2 linked regions of the Styela clava genome follow. The protein of the gene in region 1 purifies or fractionates together with the protein of each later gene. This does not show direct contact. Links are inferred from orthologs where the notes say so. Each region holds a gene or a part of one and is shown on either strand. Other genes may lie near its edges.

Evidence for each region. Proteins that work in one complex are often made in the same cells at the same time.
Region 2: the proteins of cyclin-dependent kinase 20-like (region 1) and peptidyl-prolyl cis-trans isomerase FKBP8-like purify together in Homo sapiens (affinity purification with mass spectrometry; 5 studies listed by BioGRID and IntAct, with this or other methods). This does not show direct contact. The link is inferred for Styela clava from reciprocal best matches to the Homo sapiens genes CDK20 and FKBP8.

What each region holds. Positions count from the first base shown.
Region 1 is NC_135258.1:20,403,201-20,411,796, forward strand, and holds the start of cyclin-dependent kinase 20-like, read right to left. Parts: upstream 3,247-8,596; 5' UTR 3,131-3,246; coding exon 3,120-3,130; intron 2,571-3,119; coding exon 2,465-2,570; intron 1,234-2,464; coding exon 1,108-1,233; intron 1,018-1,107; coding exon 829-1,017; intron 616-828; coding exon 491-615; intron 254-490; coding exon 139-253; intron 1-138. Other genes in the region: protein SERAC1-like, read left to right, coding at 5,950-5,968, 6,432-6,582, 6,891-7,000, 7,844-7,993, 8,386-8,424. UniProt on the Homo sapiens protein: Required for high-level Shh responses in the developing neural tube.
Region 2 is NC_135250.1:31,185,516-31,193,654, forward strand, and holds the start of peptidyl-prolyl cis-trans isomerase FKBP8-like, read right to left. Parts: upstream 3,248-8,139; 5' UTR 3,128-3,247; coding exon 1,661-3,127; 3' UTR 1-1,660. Other genes in the region: coiled-coil domain-containing protein 174-like, read right to left, coding at 4,468-5,561, 6,338-6,496, 7,095-7,269, 7,946-8,139. UniProt on the Homo sapiens protein: Constitutively inactive PPiase, which becomes active when bound to calmodulin and calcium. Seems to act as a chaperone for BCL2, targets it to the mitochondria and modulates its phosphorylation state.

The DNA of each region.
Region 1 (8,596 bases):
TGCCAAACAATATGATTAATTTTCAATTAAGCAAAAAATAGTACAACAATAGCTGTGCTTTATGGTAATTGGTGACCAATATCATTTTCAATCGTTACTTTTTTGAAATACACATATTAGACATCAACAAATACTTACTGGAAATAATGGTGAATTGTTCAACATCTCACCAAAAATACAACCAACAGCCCATAAATCAACACCTTCATCATATTTTCTTGCGCCGTACAATAACTCTGGGGCTCTGTACCATCTTAACATTAAAACGGCAAACCATTAAGATACTAAAATTGTGGTGGTAGTAGACATAGAGAACAAAGTTTAATACGGGATGTGATTATCTGTATTTACGCTAGAAGTATCACTTATATTTAAAAATTAAATGGCAGTATCAGTGATAGAATCCATTATTCTATGAACTTATTACTTTTATGACATACTTTTGTGGCACATGACTGACAATAGTAATAAAAACTGTCTAAAAATATACCTTGTTGCAACTTGATGGCTATATTGTCTGTCAGAATCTTGATTTTGATAAACTCTTGCTAATCCAAAATCAGCAATCTTCAAATGACCCGTTGAACTTATCAGTAGATTAGCTGGTTTCAAATCCTATATTGTAAATTGTTTTGACTATTTTTTCTTTAGTGTAGTAGTGTTTGTAATCGGATAAGAAGGAGATAGTGCTTGGAACGCGCGATAAAATATTGAAGCAAAGTATGTTGAAGTAAAAATACCACCACACCAAGGGAGTAATAACTAGAATATATGGAAAAGCCTCCTGAAATGATCTAATAAATTTTCAATGATCAATAGTTTACTCACGCGATGCATTATGTTGCTTTTATGACAAAATGCAACTCCTTTCAACAGCATCATCATGTAACTTTTTATTTGACCTTCTGTCAGGGGTCGTTCAGAGTTTCGAATTACTTCAGACAAATCTGAAAGCATGTATTCAAACACCAAGACAAATCCAGTTCCATGGGGAAACACATCGTATAACTTGACAACCTATGAAAAAGAATAAAATGATGTATGTTGAGACTCAAATAATTGAAATAAGACATTACAAAAATGTTAGCATCATAGTTATAATCTCACATTTTGAGATTCTTCAGAATCTCCACCAATTTCCTGCAAAGCTTTAATTTCTCTCAAACCTTGATTTGGAATACCATCTTCTATTTTTCGCAAGGGAACCTTTTTTAATGCTACAACTTCCCCACTCTGAAAGGACAAAATCAAAGTAAAATAACTAGTTGTATAGGATAGGATTTACATATTTATCCCGGGGGAGAGGAAACCGATAAGACGGCTTATCCATATGACGAACCCTGGCCTCTCGTCCGGTTACCATTCCAAGTCGGGTATGGGATTAGTTTTACTGTATTGTTTGTTTTCGGAAGCATGGACTTGGTGGTGGAGGAAGCCGTAACCGACCAGCGGTTACGTGAACCACCCAACGACGGCGAGGAGTCCAGCAATCCTCTCGCACATAACCATCCCTGCATGGGATTCGAACCTGCGAACCCACGCAGAGTAATTAGAGGTGCGGTGGCGAGCGTATTCCTAACGCTTAGCCCGTTGAGCCACACCGCCGCGCCTGTATAAAATATCTTCATAAATTTATTTGGGATGACAAAGGTGTCAATGCAGCAATATGTTGTATGTTACCTTGAAAACGAATGTAACATTAAAATAGTGCGAACGTGCAATTGACGGTCATATGATCACACGGAGGTATGTAAAATTATTTCGGCGAATGATCACGTGATTCACTACAGACATTCTGTATCGCGCATTATCAACATGAGCAAAGCCCATCCACTATAATTAAAGAAGTTTATGGATAAAAGATTGGATTTAAAGTTGAATGGTGGACGATTTGTTACGGGTATATTGCGAGGTTTCGATCTTTTTATGAATCTAGTCGTGTATGATGGAACAGAGCGTAGAAAAGATGGGATCACTGCACCTGTTGGAATGGCTGAATGGTGGTCGTGCGTGGAAATTCGCTATTAATGTTGGAAGCATTGGAACGGATACAATGATTTTAAAGTGAACCAACCGAAAACGACAAAAGAACCCAATACCCCAATCCATGATTCGTGCATAGACTGCTATGGAACATCCAATCCATTTACCAAGCTTGTTTTTTAGTAAAAAATAATTTGTCACTGTGTTATTTTTGCAATATAGTTGAAGTAGGCCCACAACATCACCATTTTTCGTCAGCGAATGTTTTAATCCATATATCTGTATAGGAAAAGCACATACACGTCTCATATTTTAATTTGAATTTATAAGTTGTTGCCCGATGTTACATCGTGTTTTTGTTTTATTCTGTTTTTGGGCCCGTCCTCCAGGTCCTCTGTATTTTGTTTGTCCCTTTGTTGTTGTTTTGTGTTTTGTTTGTATCAGAGTGACCGAATAAAATTGATTGATTGAGACAACTTACTTGTATATGTTTCGCCTTATAAACTATACCGTGTGCACCTTCTCCAATTCTACCGAGAATGTGGTAATGTTCCATTTTCTGACGTTCGCAGCAATAAATAAACAAACTGAATATAACAATATCGGTATACAGGTTATATATACTGTACTCTATAAATTTATAGTTATTATAGGCCTACCGTTACGCTTTTTGGCATGTACCATACCGGTAACCAATGGAAACATCGAAATTAAGAATCTTGCTGTCTACCTTTGACCCCAAAACATTTCTGATCGGTTTTTATTTGTATGTATGTATGTTTATTCGTCTCGTAAAAGCAAAAACACAGGAGTTAGTAAATATCAACATTGAAGACGGGATGTATACACAAGACCATACTGGCCGTACGTATCTGAAACTGCAAATATTTAATTGGCAAGATCAACGATTAACATACCGGGCAAAATATAGCGAACATAAACCTTATATCTTTCCTATTTGATGCATCGATGGTTACTGATATGAAACCCGTTTGAAGTAAACATTATTAATTGATAGGCCGTGAGACAAGGCCCTGAAAAAAAGCCTAGAAAGTGAGTTTCGTAGCGCACGTAAAGAAACTACCTAAAAATAATTCTAAAATGTTCCTCCCTAGAAATTTAGTAACTAATAATACCTTGTTTCCATTTCCAAAAGTTGCACGTTTTACAAAAAAGACGCTTTTACCAGAGCCATTATATAATGGTTCTGCGTTTACTACAAGAAATATGTGCTACGATCTTTCCCATATTCTCTGCTTTTACGGCAACATTGGCCAATGAAAGCGGACTTCTGTATGACGTAACAATTAAAATTTGATCAGCTGTTAGCAGGCGGATGAATCTCAGTTATTACGGCTCGATGTTGCGTTTGGTTGGGTAGCCTTTCCATCGTCTTTTTTAGTTTGTATTAGTTGAGTTATGCCAAGACGGTGTTAAAAAATATAAGTAAGTTATTAAACACTTGTAGATCTCTATCATGGATCGGCGCGGCGGTGTGGCTCATCGTGCTGAGCGTTAGGAATACGCTCGACACCGCACCTCTGATTAGATTCGCAGGTTCGAATCATGCGATGATGGTTATGTGCGAGAGGATTGCTGGACTCCTCGCCGCCGTAGGGTGGTTCACGTAACCGCTGGTCGGTTACGGCTTCCCCCATCATCAAGTCCATGCTTCCGAAAACAAACAACTAACTAATCCCATACCCGACTTGGAATGGTAACCGGACGAGAGGCCGTGGTTCGCCATGTGGTTAAGCCGTCATATTGGTTTTTCTCTCCCCCGGGATAAATATCCTTATGGGTATAGGCCATGAGAAGAGGCCTTGAGAAACGCCCAGGAAATGAGTTCATAGCGCACATCTGATAACTAAATAAATTCTTCAGTTTTGTATGAAAATGAACATACTGAACGCTTACAGCTTGTTCCACAATCATTATGCGAAATTGAATATAAGGGCGTTCCCAGAAAATGAATGATCATAGGTTTAAAACAACACAGCATAAGAACTATGCAATTCAAGAGCCCCACTAAACACTAACTCAAATGTATTTCTGTAACGTCCTCTCTGACCAGAAGCAGACAGGCAGTTTACAACAAAGAACAGCATAAGAAGTTGCATTCATTTTATTAGAAGCTATGAGACGCATTTATTTTTAAGCAATGAAGTCACAAATTAACATCGTGATCACAAAAACACAAATAAATTAGTTATTTCTCACTTCAAGAAAAATCAAGAAGAAAATCAAATGAATACAGCATGTACATAACATAGTGAACAGAAATATTATAAGTCTTTTTTTATTTTATGTGGTTGTGTATTTGAAACAAAAGCAATATTATTTTTTCTAGAAACAGGATTACGACACTAACAGATGTCTGAAAAAAAAACTAATAAATAATATTTATCAAATTGACTTTAATATCTTATTCACTGTCTTCTGAATTGCTTCCGAAATCCACATTCTCGTAAATCGACTTTTTCTCTATACGTGTACTGTGATTTTTGCAGTCGATACAAAAACAATTGGCAAAAACCTGCACGGGAGAGATTTCACCAACGTCTTCAGTCGGTCCCGCAAAACGAGAGCGAATCGCACTCTAAGTTCTATCTATATATATAGCTCGGGTACTACAGATTTAGGCCAGTGCTCCGCAACCTTTTTTAACTTGCGGCACGCTTATAAAACTTGCCAAATTTGACGGCACATCACAACAAGGGAAAAATACAAGATGTAACTTTGTTTTATGTTCATATAACAATGAGAGAATTGTGGTTGTTTTAATGAGCACAATCGCTCTATATTAGGATCATTACGTGACGCGCAATCAATATTGCAACACGATAACTAGTTTCTAATGTTCTTTCGGAGACTGTAAAAGACGACTTCACAGAGCACTCCTGCTTCTTATTTTGACTTAACACCAGCTGGAAATAATTTATATTCCTGCGTGCATGAACGGCATATTCCGTATTTAAGTGGCGCATAAGTCTACTCAAAAACATTGCTTCATTTGATTCATATTTGACTTAATCTTCCCTGTATTTCCTTTTGACAATTTTTTTTTTCCAACGTTGCTTGTGCTAGGTACAATATGTTGCTCAGTATCAGCTTTTCTTTTTGAAGATTTATCTATTTTGCTAAGCTTTAGCGTTCCTCGACATTTTTAATCAAAGACAACTGGGCACTGATTCTGCAAACTCACACTTTATTTATATTCGATTACTAAACGTGCTATGTTTTAGCAATAGGATTTACAATATACCTGCTTGTCATATAGGCTCCTTGTTACGTCACAAATGCACAGTGGGGGGTGTCAGGAATTTGAATTGGTGTCGCTCAAGCTAACGTAAAAGCAGGTGCCCATATTATTGCTCCTTGTTACGTCACAAATGCACAGTGGGGGGTGTCAGGAATTTGAATTGGTGTCGCTCAAGCTAACGTAAAAGCAGGTGCCCATATTATTCATCCACGACTTACGCAAATTGAAAAAGAAAAACCAGACAAATCAGGTATGGTACGCTGGAATCTATTAGTGTTTCATATTTAATAAGAAACGAATCAATATCAGGCAAATATGCACGAAAAATCGACGCCAATAATTGATTTCTGTCAAATCGTAAATATATAGCCTACTACTACAAATACAATGAGAAATGCATATTTAAAAGTTGGATGTGTATGGAAGTTGGAACGAGAGAGCCGCAGAAATGAGAGAGAAGCACTCTCTCTGTGGTTGTATTGTCAAAATGATGATGTCATTATATCAGCTGTAGTGACAATCGGAGTGCCAGGTTAAAACTGAAACATGTGATACATATTACATTTGTGTTGCGTTTTGTTGCCCCATTTTTGTCGATGACGGCCTTGACAAAAATGGGAGTGTAAGGTTTATGGCGGTCATTTGTAACTTCATATATTGTATCAGTCGATAATGGAAATATTTTAGATTAGTAGGTACAGATTATGGTGAAGTGGTTTGCCGGTAAGCGAAGTTCATTTATTATTACACTATCATTAAATTTAATGTAGATGTCGCGGGACAGTGTTTTCTGATGTTGTTTAATTAGTAAAGTTTGCTTGCCTGTCCATCTATTTTAATAGCATCGGTAGTACCGTATAGTTTTTCACACGCTTTTTAATAATTATATACAGGTATATTAGTATTACAGTATTCAGGTATTATAAAGGCTAAATGCTGAAATTTGGATTCAGGGATTTTATTTGAATTCTAACTGTCTGGTATTTCAGAATTTGGTACCGGTATGGGTTAATGGTATTACTTTACTATCAATGGTTTATTATAAGTCTTATGTCTGTATGACTAGATACCCCATAGTACTGTAGTATTTGCATCATTCTGTCATCAGTTCATTATTATGGTGTAGCCTATGATTCTGTTGAACTAGTCTACTGGACTAAAAGTTTAACCATAATTTCTTTTCAAGGAAAGTGGAAGTGGGCACTTGTTGGAGTTGCATCTTGTGCAACAGGAAGCAGTTGCCTTCTTTATTTTGAGATAGAGAATTTGAAAAAAAATCTTCATCCGTCATTATCTGTATTAGATAGAGAAAAATACAGATCTTACATATATATTAGGTAAATTAATTGACTATATAGTTGCCAATTGTTCCCCTGCCATTGTTTTTGTCATTATCTTCAAAGCGTGCTTTTTTGAATCGGTAAATTGTGCAATACTCTGATCCTTGAGTGTGGGTATCAAGCCAGTGTACAATAATACAGTAATGCTGTAATAGGTACAAAATGGCCTTGGACTAGCATTTTATAATAACTCGGGAAGTATTTTGTTGTCTTCAATGGCATATGCATCAACAACTAAATGTTCTAATTATATGTAATTTATACATCAAGGAATTTATCACTTTCAATTTTTTCTATATTTGTAGGCCAGAACAATTTGATCTTCTGAACAGCCATCACTGGAATGAGAAAGGCTTGCAACATTTATACTCTGAAATTGAAACGTATATCATCAATCATATTCCACCGAGTATAGGTGAGTTATATTTAAAGAAACTTTTCATGTGATCACTTTCTACCTCAATTACGAATCTTTAGACAAGCAGTTATTTAAATATAGGTATCTTGTATTGATAGCTTGTATGTGCAGTAGGGCACAGTTCTCCGATTCCATGATGTTCTGACATTCGGTTCAATATATCAAACACTTTATTTGTCTTTGAAACGGGTGTTTTGGCAAGACGGCAGTCACGTTTGATTGCGCCATGCTTGTCTTGATAATAATTTAAACCAATCGCACCAGCCGCAACATGATTAAAATTGCTATAAACTCACGAATGCTATGATAGAAAAAAAATTCTCTCAGTTAATCAGCCTATATTTTTCCAAAATGTGAGTTCCAACCAAACAGGTGGTATAACAACAATACTAAAATATACAGTAGATAAAATGTAAGGGAAATAGTTGTATATGCAACTCTAATGCAAGTATATCTAAGCTTGAATCGTTGCATGTAATACACATACTCTGAAAAGGAAAACTGGCAAAACCTCTAATTATGCTGCGTGGGTTCGAAACCCATGCGGGATGGTTATGTGCGAGAGGATTGCTGGACTCCTCGTCGCAGTAGGGTGGTTCACGTAACCGCAGGTCGGTTACGGCTTCCTTCACCATCAAGTCCATGCTTCGAAAACAAAGAACTAACTAATCCCATACCTGACATGGAATGGTAACCCGACGAGAGGCCGTGGCTCGCCATATGGTTAAGCCGTCTTATCGGTTTTCCTCCCCCCGGGATAAATATGTAAATCCTTATTCTGATACATTTAAAAGATTTTATTCTAATAATGAGATTCACACTCATTATCTCTTGTCCCAGCAAAGCATCTTCCAATCAAATTGTTGAAAGGAAGAGAACTTCAAGCACAACGATACTTATCACCATGGCAGTTGTTGAAAGAAGCTTCGACACCAAGTTCTAATATTGCACAAGATGTCATTGATAAAATAAACAACCATAAATGGATGGGTTAGTATTCAATTTCAGAACTAAATTTATCTATGCCCACTCGTCAATACTATTCCATTTAATTATATGTTTTGAAGTTTTGCTGAGATAATATATTATTGCTGATTGGCATAAATACCTGATTTAGAATGTTAACTAATAATTAGTGTTGAAATGCTTAGTTGGAAAGTTTCAATGTCAAATGTACCGAATGAATGTTTTGAATAGTAAGTTCAATCTATTGACAAAGAATTTATCAGTTTCTATTGTAGTTAGCATGGTAGACATCAAAAATCTACATTTAAATATTAGTTATACCAATTGTTATTATTTGCAGCTGCATTTTGTGTCCATAGATGAGGGGTTTAGTTTAAGTCAGAGTAATAGATAAAAGTACTAATCATTTTTAACAGATGATGATTCAGAAAATGAAGATGAAAACTTTTTAGACGGTGAGATATAGAGATGAACTCAGAGAAGGTCTAACATAGCAGTATTCAGTTAGACATACATAATGCAGATCTAATAAGGAAGGATTTTATATTTGTCATTTAGTTTGTTGGTCTCTAGACTTTTTTTGCAGATTTCAGATCAATGTTGTATTTAATTTATTTACAGTTTTAT
Region 2 (8,139 bases), on another chromosome or scaffold:
TCCAGAAAATTTTGTCAGATTTTATAATTGTATGTTTAAATAAATTTTATTGTATGCTAAATGCGAACTAAAAGCACAATAAGAACTACCGGAAATAAATGAAAACGAAGAGAATTTTAATTGTCATTATTATAAAATTGAGCAAAATTTTTTGGACACATATATACAATCTATCAGCATGTCAGCAATTGCTTACAACCGAAAATCAAACAGATCAAAAAATATAGCTATGAGAATACAACTTTTCTATCAGCACTATTTCCATTTTTAATAGCGACCTCTTGACATTCTCTCGAGAGAGAACCGAGTAAAAAAGAAAAAAAGAGCAAAATCACTATTTGCTATTAATTTATCACTGGATAAGTTAAAAGCAATGTTAAAGCATTTCTATGGATGGATCAACTGATCACAAGGATTTGGATTCAAACCAAACATAAAATGGTTTTCTTAGAGAATCGCAACTCCATTTTTAATAGAGAGCCTTCTCTCATTTATAAGAGAATGGAATACACACGTAAAAATAAAAAAGAAATAAAATCATAATTTGCTAATAAATCATCACTGTATATATTATAGCATTCCCATGGATGTATCTACTAATGAAATTTAAATTCAATTTAAAGTAAACCTAAAATGGCTTTTACAGGGAATTGCTATTTCAAATATTCATAATAATTGTAAGTACACCATTAGAGTATTAAAGTTTTTAAGTAAAATTATACAAAGCCAACATTTTGGATGATCTGGATTGAAATAAGCTGCAGAAAACCCTACTGGTAGAGGAATTGTACGATGAACTTAATTCCGGATAAACCTAAAAATAACTTTTTTAGGGAATCACAATTTTTAAGTATCTAAATATTCACAACAAGCATGATAATATTAACTATTAGAACAGTAAAATCAATATTTATGTGAAATTAATTCAAATTTATATTTTTGGGTGATCACTCCGTAACAAAGGCCGGGGTTTCCCAGCCGGGTTCCTGCTCTCTAGTAGCCCACAAAGTGCTTCTACCAGGGCCACAAATAATGCCAGGGGTCCACCCACTTATACTACATTACAGTGATAATAGAATACTATTAAAAAAATTTCGGTCCCTCAGAGTCCATCATGTATGCAAAGAATACCTGGACGCCTACATTTTCAATTGCAGAGACAGCAGAGGAGGGATGCCAGATTTTGAAAAAAAGCTCCAAGCAAATATACAGTATGACAAAGCTGAGATTAAAAATTGAAACAGCATCAACCCCCTGCTGTTAAATGGTCACGCTCGCACACTCTGAATCGAAAGAATTCTGTGTAATTAAACATGAACAGTCAACAAATAATAGTTATTTTTTGCAAAAAATTTCTTTGTAAAGAAAGGAAATGAATGGCACACTGAAATAAAACGAAGGCGAGCAACCATCAGCTGAAGCTCCAAGAAGTTGATTACAATCATCACAGATTATAATATCGGTAAAATGAGCAAACCCATGCGATATTTTGCAGTTCCTTCAATATCAAAATAGAATTTCATATAGGAATTTGTTGATTTAATATTCCCTGACACAGGGTTAAACAAATAGCCATATTTTATTAATTAGACATTGAATAGGTATTTGACATTAGGGATGCCATATTGTCAGAAAAATTATCAGAAAATTATTGAAATGTTTAGCTTCGTTGAGCGAGAAAGACTCCAATTAAAACAGCACCAATAGCAAGAGTTCCACCAACAACACGGCCCCAGTTCTGAGACCAAAATGACGTTTTCTCTTCTGGTTTCATTGAAGCACTAGTATCTGGAGTACCGAGCATTCGTCTGTACATTTTCTTCTGCGACTCTTTTTGTTTATCCAATTTCTTTTTATGTTTTGCAATTTCGTTTGCGATGACTTTGTTTTCAGGTTCTAATTTCCCTGCTTTCGTTAAAACATCAACTGCTTTATCTAATTCTCCAAGCATAACATGAATTTTTCCTTTTCTAAAAAGCGCTTTCACATTATTGGGTTCCAATTTTTCTGCAGCACGGCAAGATTTGAACGCATCTTGCCATTTCTCTTGCTTCATTTGTGACGCTGTTAAATTATTATAACACTTAATCCTCAATTCGTTGATGCGTACCCTCCCTGCTTCCGATTCCTCGCACATCCAGCCCTTTTCAAGCGCTTTGGTGCACCTAGTGTACGTCATTGTCGCTTCATCATACTTTTTCGCACTGTATAGTTTATTCCCGGCTTGTCGTTTTGCGTCCGCCCACTTAATTCTTCGATCTAAGTCAATAGTGCTACTAAACGGGCCGTCCTGTATTTTCAAAACTTCAATTTCGAAAATTAATTTTGCATTTGGTGGAACTTCTGGTAATTTTCCTTCGCTTCCGTAAGCGTATTTAGCATCACTCTCTACTGCCGCCACTTCACCTCGTTCCATTAAAGCTACGGAAATATCAATAGCATCCAAGATATCTTGCATTCCGAGAACGAAAACTAAATCATCATTTTTCTCAACGAGTGTTCCATCTTCTAGTTTTGCTTCGTACCTCACAGTAATTTCTTCTTCTCGTTTAGGTCTCGAATCTCTCCCCTCCCCACTTTTTAAAATCTTTTTCCGTAGTAAACTATTGCCGAGAATATCTAGCCATTCTTCTTTCTTTTCGACATCTTGCGCCGCATTATTTTCAATCTCCGAGGCTACTTGTTGTTTTGCTCCATCCACTGCATTTTTGATAATCTCTTTAGCCATAGTTGCCAGATTTTCTGCTTCACCATCCTCATTATCTGCTGACGCAGCAGTTTTAATTTCAGAACCGTTATTTGCTGAGTTATCACCATTATTTGTTGAGTAATCAGTTTTATTTGCCAAGTCATCACTATTATTTGCTGTATCATCAATCTCATCTGCTGACTCACCATATTTATTCAAATCTTCATGACTTTCTTTTAACGAGTCAACGTTTTGAATAGCGTCATTCTCGGGAGAATTTTGAAATTTTTGTGATAGGTCCTCCCCCTTTCCTAATTCGTCATCAAATTTTTTGGGCTCCTCCCCGCTTGAAGTATTCAATGCCATATTAGCATGGAGATTCTCAAAGTTTACGGTAATGCTGGCATCCTCAGGTTTTTTGTCAGTTATGTCTTCCATTTTTTCTTTTAAAAAACTAATTAAACTACTTTAATATTTCTGTGAAAAATAGGCAAAATGAAACTAAAGTTGCACTTTATAATTAATATAAAATATATTTGATCACACCGACTTACTAACTATTAGGGATGGGACGAGTCCGGAATTACAGAGATTCGACGAATCCGAGTAATAGGTCGAGGACTCGAATCGAATCTGCCGAGTCCGTGATGTCATAATGGAGAAGCCGAAAAACACGTTTTTGACCATGCTACAGCAACGTGCGCTCACAAACATACGTCGTAGCTCATACCACCGATAATTCTAGGCGGCTGTTTCGAAATTCTTACATGCCAATATGAAAAATAAAAAGCTTTTGACTACATTGCTTCTACATAATTCCATATACTTCTTACTATGTGCGTGTGCGCAAATGGTAGATGCCACTCATGCCAATACAATGTTGTACATCTGCTTGAAATTTAGTAGTGCATGTAAAATTCTAAAATTTGCCATGTTTTCAATTGCTCTCTCTTTAGGGAAAAGATTACACGTAATAAACTCAATTTAAAAGAGGTATGAATAAATTCCCCCCCTGGGTTGATCCAAGGCATGTTTCATTATACGCGAATCGAAGACTCAAAAGTATTGCGCTAATGTTCACATGTATACCAAAAAGGATATATAGTTTTTGAAGGCGACAGCTTTGTTATAAGCGATCAATAGTTTTTAATATGCGTTTTGATTGGTTAGGGCAGGACCAGGGGCCAAAAATTTTGCCCATCTAGACTGGCGGGCCATGTAAATGTGACGTAAAAGGTTACATTTTACGAGCAATATTAACAGTGTTACAAAAGCAAAAGTGGAAAAAAATAGCTTCGTGCCAAAACTATATTTAGTCAGGATCTCAACAAATTTCTTGGGCTATTTTTTTTTTAGCTAAGGCATCTAAATTTGGTTTTAGTTCAGGCGGGTCAGATTGAATTCCCCAACGAGCCGGATTAGGCCCGCGGGCCACAGTTTGCCCACCCCTGAGTTAGGGTATGTGCTGAGATTTATAGAGGTAAAAGTACAAACATAGGCGTAAATTAGTAAAAACAGTATTGATTATAGACTCGGTAAAAATGACGTGGACTCGAAATCGAATCAGAGTCCAAAAAATGCGTGGATTCGACTCGAATCCGAATCTCGGCCCATCCCTAATAACTAAAGGAGATTTATCACTAATAGTGTCTTTCAATGCATTTAACATGCTGGTAGGTGGCAGCAATTTTGTCCCCACATTGAAAATGACCTTTGACCCCAATTGGAAAAGGACCCCAAAGGAAAAAACAAAAAATTTCACAGTAAATATACAAAAATCAATCATCAGAAAACGCAGATTTTGACACCAAAACTTTCGATTTTTTAGGCACTTGCTTAATTTTCATTGTTATTGGTTTATCAGTAGGAACAAACATATTTACATCATTTTCTACAATATTTTCATACATTTTTGGTTCTTTCTTGCCCAGATCAGGGTTATTTTCACCCAAAATCGAGCTAGCACCAGAATTTTCCTGTTTTATACTGGAACTAGTAAGATAATCCAGAACTCTATCAGTTCTTTCTTGTATGTCTGCGGAAATGCCAGGATTTGTCGCAGTTGAATTTGATGAAAAATTTGTTTTTTGTCCCAAAGTGTTCAAAATACCAAATTGGTCCCCCAATTTTTCTTCAGTTTTTATACTAGCACTGTCTGTCCTATTGGATGTGCTCTGAGAATTGCCGTGTCTAATATGGGTTAAACTGTCACTATATGAAGTACTCAAAGGGTTAATTGGGTGTGTGTTATTTTGCGGATATTTCCTTTTATTTTTATTATGTTTATGATCCTTTGTTGTGTCATAGTAGAAGGATGGAGGGGCAAATTCATCTAGTCGCTCATTATGAGGATCTTTCCAACTTTTTGGTGGTTTTGTAGGTTCTGCGGGCAACCACTCTTTTCCTTTATCCCACTCCCGTTCTTTGCGAACTCCATCGTCACGCTTCGTGATTTCAGCTATCGTGACATCACTTTGTGTCGGTTTTTCTTCTTCTGCCTCCGGTGGTGAGAGTTCAATCGGTTTTAATAATTTTTCAGGAATTTCTTTTCCTTGTGCTTTTAATTTTTTAATTCTCCCCAACCGAACTTTTTCTAATCTCGCTTGCAACGCTGTTCGTTTCTTTTTCTCTGCGTCTTTGGCATTTTCCCTTTCCTTTTGCGTCTCATCTCTCATTTTACGAAGAAGTTTCATCTGTGTGTCTCTTGTTTCTTGATCGGTCGAAAATGCGAAATATCCGACGCCGAGTTCTCGAATCTCTCTTGCTCGTAAATCCTCGTAATGTAGTGGTCCGTTGATCTCTTCTACTGCTTCTTTCTCCCATTGTTCACGCTTTATTTCACGTCGCATGTCATCAGACAGCAATGTTCTCTCTGTCAAAAAAAGAAAATTATTAGGAAATGTGTTTTAATAGAGTGGCTTAGTCCTTTTAATAAGTTGGCCAGGTACCGCTTGCTGGTGCCAAGCGTTAGGAATACGCTCGCCACCGCATCTCTGAATACCCTTCGTGAGTTCGCAGGTTCGAATCTCATGCGAGGATGATCATGTGCGAGAGGATTGCTGGACTCCTCGCCGACGTAGGGTGGTTCACGTAACCGCTGGTTGGTTACAGCTTCCTTCACCATCAAGTCCATGCTTCCGGAAACAAATAACTGGCTAACTAATCCCATACCCGACCTGAACTGGTAACCGGACGAGAGGCCGTGGTTGTGGTCCCCTGGAATAAATATGTAAATCCTATCCTATCCTACTCTTTATTTAGAGATAACTATTAGAGTTATAATCAAGAGATGTACATATCCTCATGGTTAGGTTTCTCCCTTACTATTTTTATCAACTTTGAAAATTATGAATTACTGTAAAATAACTCTGATAAAAATGGGAAAATTTATTGTAAAAAAGAAATTTTGAAGAATTTTTAAAATTGAAGAGGGAAATTTTCCAAGTGAAATTGAATTAAGATTCTTCTATGATTTTGCTTCCCACTAATATTGCACTAATGAGCTTAGAGGAAGATTACACATTTACTATAACATAGTCGCTTATTACATATCAGTGACTGCCTGAAACCAGCCTCATTCAAAGTGAATGAACAACACAAAGTTAATAAGGTAATATAAAGCTTCAGAATTTCATGGTTTATCAGTACCTCCAGGTTCCTGTATTTCCGGTTTTCTTCTCTTTTCTTCATTCAGTTTTTCATCCATTCTTTTCATTCTGTCCAGATCTTTTTTCAAACACGCTCTCGTCCGACCCAAACTATCTGTATATTCAACCCATTCATTCTCTGATTTCTGGAGTTCAGAAGCTGAGAATAAGAAAAGAAATATTTTAAATTGATTGTTACACATCTATTTGAAAAAGGCTCTAGACTGCCTCACTACTGCTAACTTCATGGGGACAGAGTTAGTGGTGCTCAGAGTCGTTTTCTGTTTCGTGTACGACTGCTGTGCATAGCAGATCGCCTCATGGTATTTTTTTCAATTAACATACATAGTTCCATTTTTTTATATTAATTTCCCGAGTTATTTATGAAAACCACTGCTCGTGCTGATAACCAGTATTGGTTTTCTGCGTCTCCTTCACCCTGGAACGCGGTTTGTTTATTGGACATAGAGTGGACATATGGATCGCTTCGTTATTATGTTGTTGTTGTTCGTTGTCACAGAAAAAAATCAATTTTCTTTCTGAGTACTGGACCAAATGCTTTGAAATTTTCGGAGTAGACTGTATACGATACTACACCGTGTCCATATATTTGAGCATCGATCTCTTGTTATTTATTGAAATTTGTATGTCTTGGTAAAAAGTATGGTGACAAATAAACTACTGATTACTGATCGTACCAGCTTACTTCTCCTAAGATTCTCAATTCCCTACAAAATCCTTGATTTACAATTGCTCACCTAACTCTGTTGCCACATTTACACCAACTTTTGGTTTGATATCCAGTTCATTATTTGTCTTCTGTAATCTGGCATCCATGGATTTCTGCTCAAAATCAACCAGAAATAATGAAGAACTCTCTTCATCTGGCAACAGGTTTCCTGATGACATTTTCTCATAGAGTTTGGCTTTGGCCTTGAATAATAAAATAAAAACATTTTACTTACCGTATATGACAATGTGTAAGAAAGCTGATGAGACCGCTCAATCATAATGACAAGTCAAAGCCAATGAATTATGAACGAGAATATCAGTCGGAGACCAAAGACTTATCGATCAAAACTGCAGTTTCGATTCATGACTCTATAGTGAATCCGCGTGTCCCATAACTAATTAATTAATACCTCGCTAATTATGAGACATAATTCATCCAAAATCAATAGGCTGCTGGTCCGAGATATGATGAATGCACACGCAAAGTTTGGACTAGATTCAACTACGCCTTCGTGAGATATCGCGTTCATCTAACAGACAGACAGATACCTATCAACATACTTACCAATCTTAAGATCGATAGGTAATAAGACGGTGACCTAAGCTTAGTGCATTGCATGTGAATAAAACCTATCTTTGAGCAAAGTCACATGCACTCACTCAAAGTAAAGGATACTCATATCTGAGCAAAGTTACAAACAGTCACTCTGGAGTAAAAGAGACTCATCTCTGAGCAAAGGTAAAGAAATCAGCACATAATAGAAAAATTTTCTTCCAGGGAATGCAAAACCTATAACCTCATCTCCAATAATCGCAAAAAACAACAAATCCGAAAAGAAGGTATAATAGTTTTTATTACAAAAGAATTCATTTTCACCTCCAGCACAGATTTCACCATTTTCCCTTTATCTATTTCTTCAGATGTTTCGGCAATATCTCTTGCGTTACGTTCTTCAACTCCCGGATTCTTCTCATTTTCAGGTACTTTCCCCTCCCCATTTGAAGAACTTTTCAATTTATGTTGTTTTCTGATTGCCGATGTAACTATTTGACCAGATTTCTTTGAAGTCA